3 linked regions of the Rattus norvegicus genome follow. The protein of the gene in region 3 interacts with the protein of the main gene of each other region in a biochemical or structural test. Links are inferred from orthologs where the notes say so. Each region holds a gene or a part of one and is shown on either strand. Other genes may lie near its edges. The genes, in order: Htr2a, Crhr1 and Mpdz.

Region 1 (2,710 bases), on a different chromosome or scaffold from region 3:
GGAATTATCCTTTGATACTTTACAGAGAAGAAAAATATACGAAACAAGACCACATTTCAAATTCAGGTAAAGCCCAAGAAGTAGAAGAGAAAGCAGCGTGTTATCGAATAACATTTAAAACCCTTCCACATCTGAGAATTAACGACAAATGCAGCAAATGCTAGCGGTCTTGTGAACATTTCAAAATGGCATCTATGAAAAAGCAAGAATGAAAAATATTGTCAAGTATTTCAATGAATTATATTAGCAATACAAATGTCATATTACTGTCTATTTTTCTTTTCAAAATATATGTCGTGGTGAATTTGAAACACTTTTTTAAGCTATTCATTATTTTCAGTATTTCTAGCTACTTTTATATACAATAATAAGTCACCAACTCACTCCCATGCTACCCATCCACAACATGGCAGCCAGGTTCGTATTTGACAATAGAAGTTACTTAGATGCATTTTATGCCTCATTACAATTGCACAAAAGGCCAATGGTTTTAGAGATCTCATTGGCAATAATTAAAGCATCGTAACACTCCTAGCTCCAATGCTGTCAGGACATTATAGTTGGTCGACTGGAGTAGTCTAATTTGTTGCAGCCTCCTTATCCCCGCCCCACACACATGGGTATAACCTTGTTCACATGCCCTGGGCAATTGCCATAGCATCCAGTTCATCACACACAGCTAACCTTTTCATTCACGGTTTCAATATTGTCTGTACAATTCTCTTCCGACTGTTGTTTCCCCAGTGTAACCATGGAGCAGTCATCAACTGTCTGCTCAGCATCTTCCTGTGAGTTCTTTTTCTGTCCCACCTGGAGCTGACTAGACTTGTAGGCCAATGCTGGTATAGTGTTCACTAAAATTAACTGCAGTGGCTTTCTGTTTTCCTTGTACTGACACTGAATGTACCTTGAGAAGGCGGACCTATAAGTTTTATTGAACAACGTATATACCAGTGGATTGACAGCTGAGGAGAGATAACCAATCCAGACAAACACATTGAGCAGGGCTCCGATGACATTTTCATTGCAGGATTCTTTGCAGATGACGGCCATGATATTGGTGATGAAGAATGGGCACCACATTACAACAAACAGGAAGAACACGATGCCCAGCACCTTGCACGCCTTTTGCTCATTGCTGATGGACTGCATCGTCCTTCGGCCTGCGTAGGAGCCTGGCTCTCTGTGGATGGACCGTTGGAAGAGCTTTTCTGATGACAGAGAACTCTGAGGGAGGAAGCTGAAGGAGGCTAGTTTGGCTCGAGTGCTGAGGTCACTCACACACAAGGTGGCTTCTTTCTGAAGTGACTTGATAGTCAGGAAGTAGGTGATCACCATGATGGTTAGGGGGATGAAAAATGCCACAAAAGAGCCTATGAGAACAAAGTTGTCATCGGCAAGCAGGCAGCTCCCCTCCTTAAAGACCTTCGAATCATCCTGTAGTCCAAAGACTGGGATTGGCATGGATATACCTGGAAGGACAGAAAGTGAGACAGATCAAGGGGCTGAGAATATGAAGTGAAAACTTCACCACATAACACTGGCTGGTCAAGGAATTGAAGCCATCTTACTGTAGGAGTTTAATATATTGCTGCAATGAAAGTTGGGCTAATTGATATTCCATATTGTTCTGATTATATTTTATTTATTAACTGGAGAAAAACACAAAATGGCAAAATGAAGCAAATAAAAATGACCACTAAAACCTCATCAACAGACTAACCGCAAGGGCAGTTTAAGCATGTTTGTTTGAGCATGTATCACACACATGATGCATACAGGAAGGCACTCACCCACGAACGTACCCACCCACGCACGTACCCATGCACGTAGTATGTACCCACGCACTCAGGTGCCCTCGCACGTATGAACCCAATGCACGTACATACCCAGGCACGCACTGGGCAACAGGACGAAGCTCTACTTTATCTACAATTTTTTTGACTTTCCACTTCATATTATATTATCAGCATTCTTTACTTCTTTTGTGAACGTATAAGCCTAACATATTTGCTTTCTAGCAAATTTGAAAAATATGAAAAAGGTAACAATGACTAAAGGAAAATCCCATTTACTCTCGCCACCAAGGTAGGTTACTTTTGTTTGCACAGGACTTTATGTCGCAGTTTTAGATCGTCCTATCTCATTTAATATTTATTATAAAACCTTTGCTAGTTGAGACAGGGTCTTCTACTAGCCTGGGATAGCCTCAAACTCACATCCATCCTGCTTCAGTCGCTTGAGTTATATGAGCCACCATGGCCGGTTTCAAAGTTGGACATATTTTAAACTACTTTTGGAAAACATTCTCTACTGTTAATTTCAAGTAATTCAAAATGAACTTGGGTTAGTTTTTAAAAGTTTTTACTTCAGAGAAATTTTAACATCTGTGAAACCCCAAAACGGACAAAGCCAAGGAAGTCCCTTAGCTTTTACAGTTGTAAATTCAGGACAGATATTGTGTCCTCCAGGGTCCTCACCTGGGACCTCCCTCCTTGTTTTGAAGCAAACCTCAGACTTCATATGACTAAACATGTACACATCTTATTATATAGGTTTGAAAGTGACACCCTTTCAGAGAAACTCACTATCATAGACAGGCTTTCTCCTAAAGGGGAATTTAGTTTCCTTCCACATCATGAAATATCAAATTTGTGTTCAGACTTCCATTATTCCATAGAAGTCATATATTTTTATAGCAGAACATTCA
Region 2 (3,653 bases), on a different chromosome or scaffold from region 3:
GTCGCGGGGCTGGCAGACCAATGATCCAGGGACCCACCTGTCTCTGGTCCTCCGTGTTGAAGTTACAAGTCTCCATAACCACACCCAGCTTTCATGAGGGTGTCAGGGATCCAAGTCCCAGTCCTCATTGAGCCAGATTCGGGTGTGACCAGGAAGATGGGAACTCAGTTTAGAAGCGAATAAGAAATAAAATTCTGGAGGGCTGGGGTCTCTGCACCCACCCGAGCCTGTGCAGCCAGGACAGAGCGAGACATGGGCATGTGTGGGCACTGAGTGTTTGTGTAAGTGTGCACAGTGTTAATGTGACACAGAGCGTCGTGTGACCTAGATACAGCCTCAGTTCCTATCTGTCTGCAACACGTGACAGACCAGATTCAGAGACTGGCCCAAGTGGATGGTGTTACTCCAAGGTGGCACGTGAGTGGCTCACAGGGTCACTCTGGGGCGGGGCAAACCCTATTACTGTTGCCCACTCTTCCCCAGCACCCCTCCCTGGTACTGTTCAGTACAATGGGTACAGAGGTGCGGCTGTGCAGGACGCTCACCTCTGCCCTCTCTCCTCCCTCAGAAGAAGAGCAAAGTACACTACCATGTTGCAGTCATCATCAACTACCTGGGTCACTGCATCTCCCTGGTAGCCCTCCTGGTGGCCTTTGTCCTCTTCTTGCGGCTCAGGTGAGAAGGCATGGGCACTGCCACCCGCCACCCCCTGGGACCTTGAGCGTACTGCGGGGCAGTGGGTAAGACCCAGGCCTAGCAGTGGGGTGGGGGCACTGACAAAGGGTCACCTATCTCTCATTTGGATAGAAGAGTATCACCTACGTGAAGCTCGGGTCTCTTAGGACCTCTGCAGAGTCATGCCTGTCCTTTCTCCCAGCAGCTGCTGAGGGAAGTAGGGTAGGGAGAAACGAGCCCAGGCTCACCTGCTGTTAGCAATGCCTAAAGCTGGTCTGTATCCATCTTGGGAGACCCCTGGAGGTGAGGGCTTTATCGAGTGGCATCCCTCTCACAAGTTCAAGTGAGCTGTGGCCAGAGTGACAGGAAAAAGTGTCTAGTGGGTAGCACCAGAAGCTGAAAGTCGAGACGGATTTTGCTGTTGGAGGCTTCTCCTGTTTGTAAGCACTCTGCTTTTCAATCCTGGGGTGTGAGGAATGAGAGGGGATCCTGACCACACCAAGCTTTTCCAGGAGCAGATGTCTTGGCCGCCCAAGATAGGAAGGGACCAGTGCAGTTCAGGCCAGCCCGTCAGTCCCACTCACGCCAAGCTTCAGTCTCTCCGTTGTTGTGTCTGGGCTGGAGAGATGCTCACACTTGCCCTCATCCTCTCTCTCCTCCTGTTGCTATGGCCACCTGCCCTCTCCTGCTGCCCCAGGAGCATCCGGTGCCTGAGAAACATCATCCACTGGAACCTCATCTCGGCTTTCATCCTACGCAACGCCACGTGGTTTGTGGTCCAGCTCACCGTGAGCCCCGAGGTGCACCAGAGCAATGTGGTACGTCTCAGCTAGAGAAGCAGAAAAGGCAAAGTCTAGGTCAGAGGGCGACCCTGTAGAAGGGCCAGGCCCGGGTACCCACAGAACAAGAATAGGACCCCAAGGAGCCTGAGGGTTGGACACTGGGGTCTCTGGACACCCCCAAGCTCATTGTCATCTCTGGTTGGGGCAGGCCTGGTGTAGGTTGGTGACAGCCGCCTACAATTACTTCCATGTAACCAACTTCTTCTGGATGTTCGGTGAGGGCTGCTACCTGCACACAGCCATTGTGCTCACGTACTCCACCGACCGTCTGCGCAAGTGGATGTTCGTCTGCATTGGCTGGGGTGAGCTGGGCCAGCCCCGCCCCTGCCTCTCCTCACTGAGGATATGGGCCAGCTGGGTCAGGAGGGTGGGATGCGAACTCTTCTTAGGGGTGAGAGTAGGGGGATTGCCAGGAAGCGTCAGAACTCAACTCCCACGAATCCCTGCTCTACTGTGGGTCCCTGGCTGACCTGGGGTCCTCCAATGACATCTGCTTTCTCCCTCAGGTGTACCTTTCCCCATCATTGTGGCTTGGGCCATTGGGAAGCTGCACTACGACAATGAAAAGTAAGCTACTTTGTGAGGTCAGAGCCTAGCTCTATAGTACACTCCCTAGGGGACTTGGGCCATTGTCTCTCCTGTAAAGACAGTGGCTTCTGCGTCCACAAAGGCAGAGCAGAGCACTGGCCTCAATTCTAGGATCTTTTCCAGTGCTCTGCTGAGAAGGTGGAGCTAGACAGCCAGGGTCCCAGCCTGTTACCTGTCTGGAGTTTTAAGGAGAGCAATACCAAAAGCCACACAGCCCAGGTGCTGGATTGTGCCATCACTGAGTGGCTATGTGTGACCTTGGAGCTCATTGTCATGGCAGGCCTCAGTTTCCTCATCCATGAAATGGGCATCTTCATTTTATTTATCACCTCTAGGCTGTAGTGGGGATGAAGGGCATCAATGCATACTAAGCACATAGACTAGTTAGTACCTGCCAGCCAGTAGGTGCTACATACATTTTTATTAACATCAAGGTGTGTTTCGTAGTAAGATTCTATTGGTTAAAAAAAAAAAACAAAACTAGTCCAGGTAGTTTTAAAGACTCTTCCAGCTGGATCTGAATCAGCCTTGCACATGGGGGACTTCCCAGCCGTCCCTCACAAGGATCTTAGGGGAAGATCTAGAAAGTTCTATACCTCAGGGCTCCATGCTATTGGACTGTCATGGCCTGGGTAGCAAGGTGGTTACAGTGTAAAGCGAAGATTTAGAACTTCACAGAAAGACCGAGAAGGTGGGAGGGGCCGGGCAAGACAGTCTGGGTTACACATAAGCATCCCCAGCTCCCAGCTGGCTGACTGGAGGGTTCACATTGACAGACTCTCCCCTCCCCTCACTGGGCTGCACGAGAAGCCTGGGAAAATATCATCCACATTTGTGAAGGTTGTTCTTTCTACCTCAGGCTGGGTTTTTTATGCAGCAGCAGGGTAGGCGGCAGACTACAGGGAGCCAGTTCACTGCCGTGGGTGCGCAGTATCCTGGGGGCGGGGGGTGGTATCCTCTTGGGAATTCCTGGATGGGGGAAGCCTGTGCTTTGAAGCATATGAAAAATTGAGTACAAGAGACGGGGCAGAAAGAACAGGAGGGAGAGATGGGAGAAGAAAAGAGATGGGCAGAGAAGGAAAACCCAGAAACGAGCCTGCTCCCACCCTGGAGCGGGAAGGACGCTATAAGGTTAGGCGTGAGCAGCCCTGTAGCCCCCTCTGGTGGATAAATGCAGACAGTGAAGCAGAAGGAGCGGGGAAGATGAACTGAGAGGCTCCGGGTCCCAGTCTGGAGTCCGTAAACAGTGGTGTGTAACCTGAATGGTGTTTAAAAATCAAAAACAAACAAACAAGAAAACCTTGACATTTCAGTCAGGAGGTCACATATGCTAACTTCCCATTGTGGCTTACAGCATCCATTGCAAGTCCTTATACCCATCCATAGGAACGTGGGACTTCTGATGTACCCAGTCCCAACCTACTCCTGAGGCTAGCTCAGGGGGATTGTAAGGCAGGCCTACATCTTGCAATGAGTGTTAGCTGTGAAACCTTCTCTGCATGGGCTGCGCTCCAACGGAGTCCCGAAGAAGCTGCGGTTGGTATCCAC
Region 3 (3,684 bases):
TATTCATTGAAAGGCATCACTTTCATTCTTGTGCATTTTATGTGTTTTCTCCTTCAATATTTAGTAAATGTTAGAGAAACTCAAATTCTCAAATTGCTTTTTAGTAGACAAAATAAAATTATAACGCAATTCTAAATTCTGAGAGTTTTAAATTGCACACTCTAATATTAGACTTAGAAAAAAGAGAGAGCTGTATTTTCTTTAACAGGTGTAGGGCTGGGGTAGATTGTGGGACTCAGAACTGAGGTCAATAGAAATGTACCACCACCACCACCACCACTACCACCGCTCCCAACCACTACCTCCAGTGGCAGACAACTCTGAGCTCTTCTCAGGAGTTTGCTGATTCTTTTAATTGGCTCACCAGGCTAAGAATGCATCTTGATGTGCTAAGTAATTTCTCAAACAAGGACTTCCCTTGGCCACTTCGCACAGGCCACGAATGCAGAGGGCAGTTCTCACCGAGAACTAGAACTGCAACTAGAGACTGGGGCTGGGAGCATAAAACACTGCATTCTTAGCCCAGTTCAATTATTTTTGATAAAATATCAACAACACTGGAGAGAAAGTATTTCCCGCGCAATATTAGGGAAATGCTATACTTAAAAAAGAAGGCATTTCCCTTGGAAGTCACATTTAGGAGCCTGCCCCACGCCCCGCCGCCTTCGCGCTGTCCGTCACCACGCGGGCCCCGGCCCGGGCGCCGGTCGTTCCATCCCCGCGGCGGCTGGGCCGCGCCCCTGATTGGCCAGCGCGCCCCGCCGGCGTCACGGCTTCCCGCAGCCCGGCGGCCTCCGGGAGCCTGGTCGGCGCGCAGCGAGGCTGGCCGGCCGCGGGCTCCAGTTCCCTGGCTACGCGTGAGCGTTCCCGCCACACCGAGCTCTTGGGGCCGTGGTTAAAGCGGAGAGGAGCCGAGCGCTCTACCCACCCTGGGAGTCTCCTCCAGGCCGGCGAGCAGGGTAAGCGGCCCCGCCCGAGCCCTGCCCCCGAGACTCTGGAAGTTTCCCCGGCTGCGCGCTCCCTGCTGTGCTCTCCCCGCGGCCTGCGCGCCTGTTGCTGTGCGCGGGCCCGGGGAGTGCGGGAGGGCCGGGGCCTGGTGGGGGTGGGGAAGCGTGCGGGAGGCGCTTTGTGCTGGAGCCCTGCTTCGTGGGGCGCGATGGTGCGCCCTGGGTTGCTATTCTCCAGGGGCTCGGGGACTGGGTAGTTCCTTCCCGGGTCATAGGCGGCCGGGAAGAGGAGGCGGAGGAGGAGGAGGGGGCGGTGGCAGCCTGGGCGGGCGCTAGGGGGCTGCTCTGCTGGGGGAGGACGCCGCGAACAGGCAGGCCTGCGGGCGGAGGCTGGGGTTTCCTTCTAGCCTCAGATAAGAGGACGGTGACTTCACCAGCTAGAGGGAAAACTCCTCACGGAGGCGTTGTTTCAGTGTCCTGAGGGGATGAATCTGAGAACTGAGCCCAGGTCACCTCATCCTGTGCTGTAGGACAGCTGTGCAGTCGACATCACCTTTGTGTGTCCATAGACCTTCGTTTAGGATGCCCTTTATAAAATGAGTAATCTGGGAACACAGGAGGGGGGGTTGGTTCTAGGGGTATGGGAGGATTTTGCGTGTAGAATTTGTACAGAGATGATGATTTCTTAGCGGTCAAGTTATCCAACTTAGTATCTTACTGTTTTAGAGCCTGATAGAATCCAGATTAGCAATTGCATTTAAAACTCTAATAAAATTAAACTTTGAACGCCTTTGATTTGAACTTCTAATATAAGTTTTGAATAAATGCACCTGGTCTATTATGTGTTCCAGGATCCAGGAAAGCTAATTTGGGATGCTCTGTAATTTGTCTTATCTTCCTCACCCCATTTAAATACAAAAAAAGCAAAAATTGATGGGACTTTTTTTTCTTCAACATATTGATTACAGCACATATGTGCACTTTGTCTTTCACGCGTTCTTTTTCCCTTGGATTCTTCTAGTTTCTTCTGGATTTCTTTCTTCCTCCACATTCTTCTTTTACCACAGAACCCTGATGAGGCTTGGTGAGGGAGTTAAGTTTGTTTTTAGGGTGCTCCAAATTCCTGTCTGAGTCCCTGGGGGGTTTCTTTGAATTTCAGATGCTTTCTAACTAGGGAACACCATGAGGGAGTAAAGGTTGTCTATACAGCATACTTCCCGGCTGGTTGGAGGTTTCTAGAGCGATAATTTCAGAAATGCAAATTTGCATTGATTCAGTGCTTGGCGCTTTCAACATTTAACTAAAGTAGGCAAAGTGGTTTCCGTATGAAATCTTGGATACATGTTTTGGAGGTAAGACTAGCTGGGAGGGGTCTAGAAGCTTCTGAGCAATAGTAAGTGGCTTCCATGGTAACTGTCCTGAGTTAGTGAAAGATTATTTTGCCGAGTACATCCCAAGTCTGTCCTCATAGATTTGACTTGAGTTGAGTCGCAGATTGGCTACATATTTTACATTTATATTATGGTCAACATACTCTGAATTTCATCGAATACTTTGAGGCAAAGTTGACACACTGTACTGGACGTGCCTCCAAATACAGTGGAATAAACACCCCATCTGCCAGAGGAAGGTCTACACTCAAGAACGAAGAAACAGATGAGTTTGTAGTGAATTCAGGATTGCTAGATTGTCCGGGGGATGTGTCTCACTTCAGTGGGTTTGTAAAAATAAACATTTGGTAGAATTGCCTTGGGTAAATATAGTTAAATTGTTTCAAGCATCAGTTTGCTGATAAGACAGGTATTTTTCTCTTTTAAATTTAAGCTTTGGGTACCGAATAGTATTTACAGAGATTTGAGAAACTAGTATGGCAAATTTGTTATATTGTAATTAGTTAGATAACTTTAGTGGGCCTCCATAGGAGAAAGAGTGGGCAGAGAAATCAGTGCTAATTAATCAGGTGCCCTCAATATGGTGGCTAGGCAGTAATTAGATAGCAAGCTTTGGAGACTTGTTGCATCAGATTAAGCAGTGGCAGGACTGGAGGTGGGTCAGAAGGAGGCATACAAAATAAATACAGTGTTCTGGGAGCTTGATGTCTTTACTGATCACAGTCGACAATAGAAAGCCTTTGTGTGTGGTCTTCAGAAAAAGCGGCCAAAGGGTCTTAGGTTGTTTGACATGATGAAGTGACAATAGTTTTGCTGTTGTTGCTGCTGTTAACGTAAGTTAGTGTTTCTCATAAAGAAGAGAGCATAGACCTGTAGGTGAAATGGTTGGGAAGGAGGTGGGTGGCAGAAACTAGAGGGGAATATCAGTTTGTAGACTTCTAGAGTAGAATCGAAAGTTTGGGTCAAGGGAAAGTGGTAGGAAGCATGGATGGATGTGGAGCTGGAGTTTTGTTTTTCCCAGTGTTTTTCATTCTTATCTGTGATCTCAGAAAAGTCATCCAAATGTCCTTGTTTTACCAACTGTCCCCTTCAAAGCAGCCTAGGCTCTCCTGTCATGTCCTTCCAGACTCTTGTGGCATCTTCTACCCATTGCTCTCTTCCATAGCTACTGTGTGTGTGTGTGTGTGTGTGTGTGTGTGTGTGTGTGTAGTAAACGGCATCCCATTTCCAGTCTGGTGTACTGGACTCTACAGCTGGAGAACTATAATATATCTGCTGGTGATAACAGGAAGTGATGTCCTTGGTTCCCAAGCTCGGCAATCAACACGTGTGGCATTTGGTTGGTT

The links.
Region 1: the proteins of Mpdz (region 3) and Htr2a form a complex in vitro, tested with the Homo sapiens proteins (2 studies listed by IntAct, with this or other methods). The link is inferred for Rattus norvegicus from reciprocal best matches to the Homo sapiens genes MPDZ and HTR2A.
Region 2: the proteins of Mpdz (region 3) and Crhr1 form a complex in vitro, tested with the Homo sapiens proteins (2 studies listed by BioGRID and IntAct, with this or other methods). The link is inferred for Rattus norvegicus from reciprocal best matches to the Homo sapiens genes MPDZ and CRHR1.

The regions. Positions count from the first base shown.
Region 1 is NC_086033.1:56,426,572-56,429,281, reverse strand, and holds the end of Htr2a (5-hydroxytryptamine receptor 2A), read right to left. Parts: intron 1,473-2,710; coding exon 670-1,472; 3' UTR 579-669; downstream 1-578. UniProt on the Homo sapiens protein: G-protein coupled receptor for 5-hydroxytryptamine (serotonin).
Region 2 is NC_086028.1:89,575,013-89,578,665, forward strand, and holds part of Crhr1 (corticotropin-releasing factor receptor 1), read left to right. Parts: intron 1-568; coding exon 569-675; exon of another isoform or gene 676-740; intron 741-1,372; coding exon 1,373-1,493; intron 1,494-1,665; coding exon 1,666-1,819; intron 1,820-2,023; coding exon 2,024-2,084; intron 2,085-3,653.
Region 3 is NC_086023.1:100,963,650-100,967,333, reverse strand, and holds the start of Mpdz (multiple PDZ domain protein), read left to right. Parts: upstream 1-829; 5' UTR 830-959; intron 960-3,684. UniProt on the Homo sapiens protein: Member of the NMDAR signaling complex that may play a role in control of AMPAR potentiation and synaptic plasticity in excitatory synapses. Promotes clustering of HT2RC at the cell surface.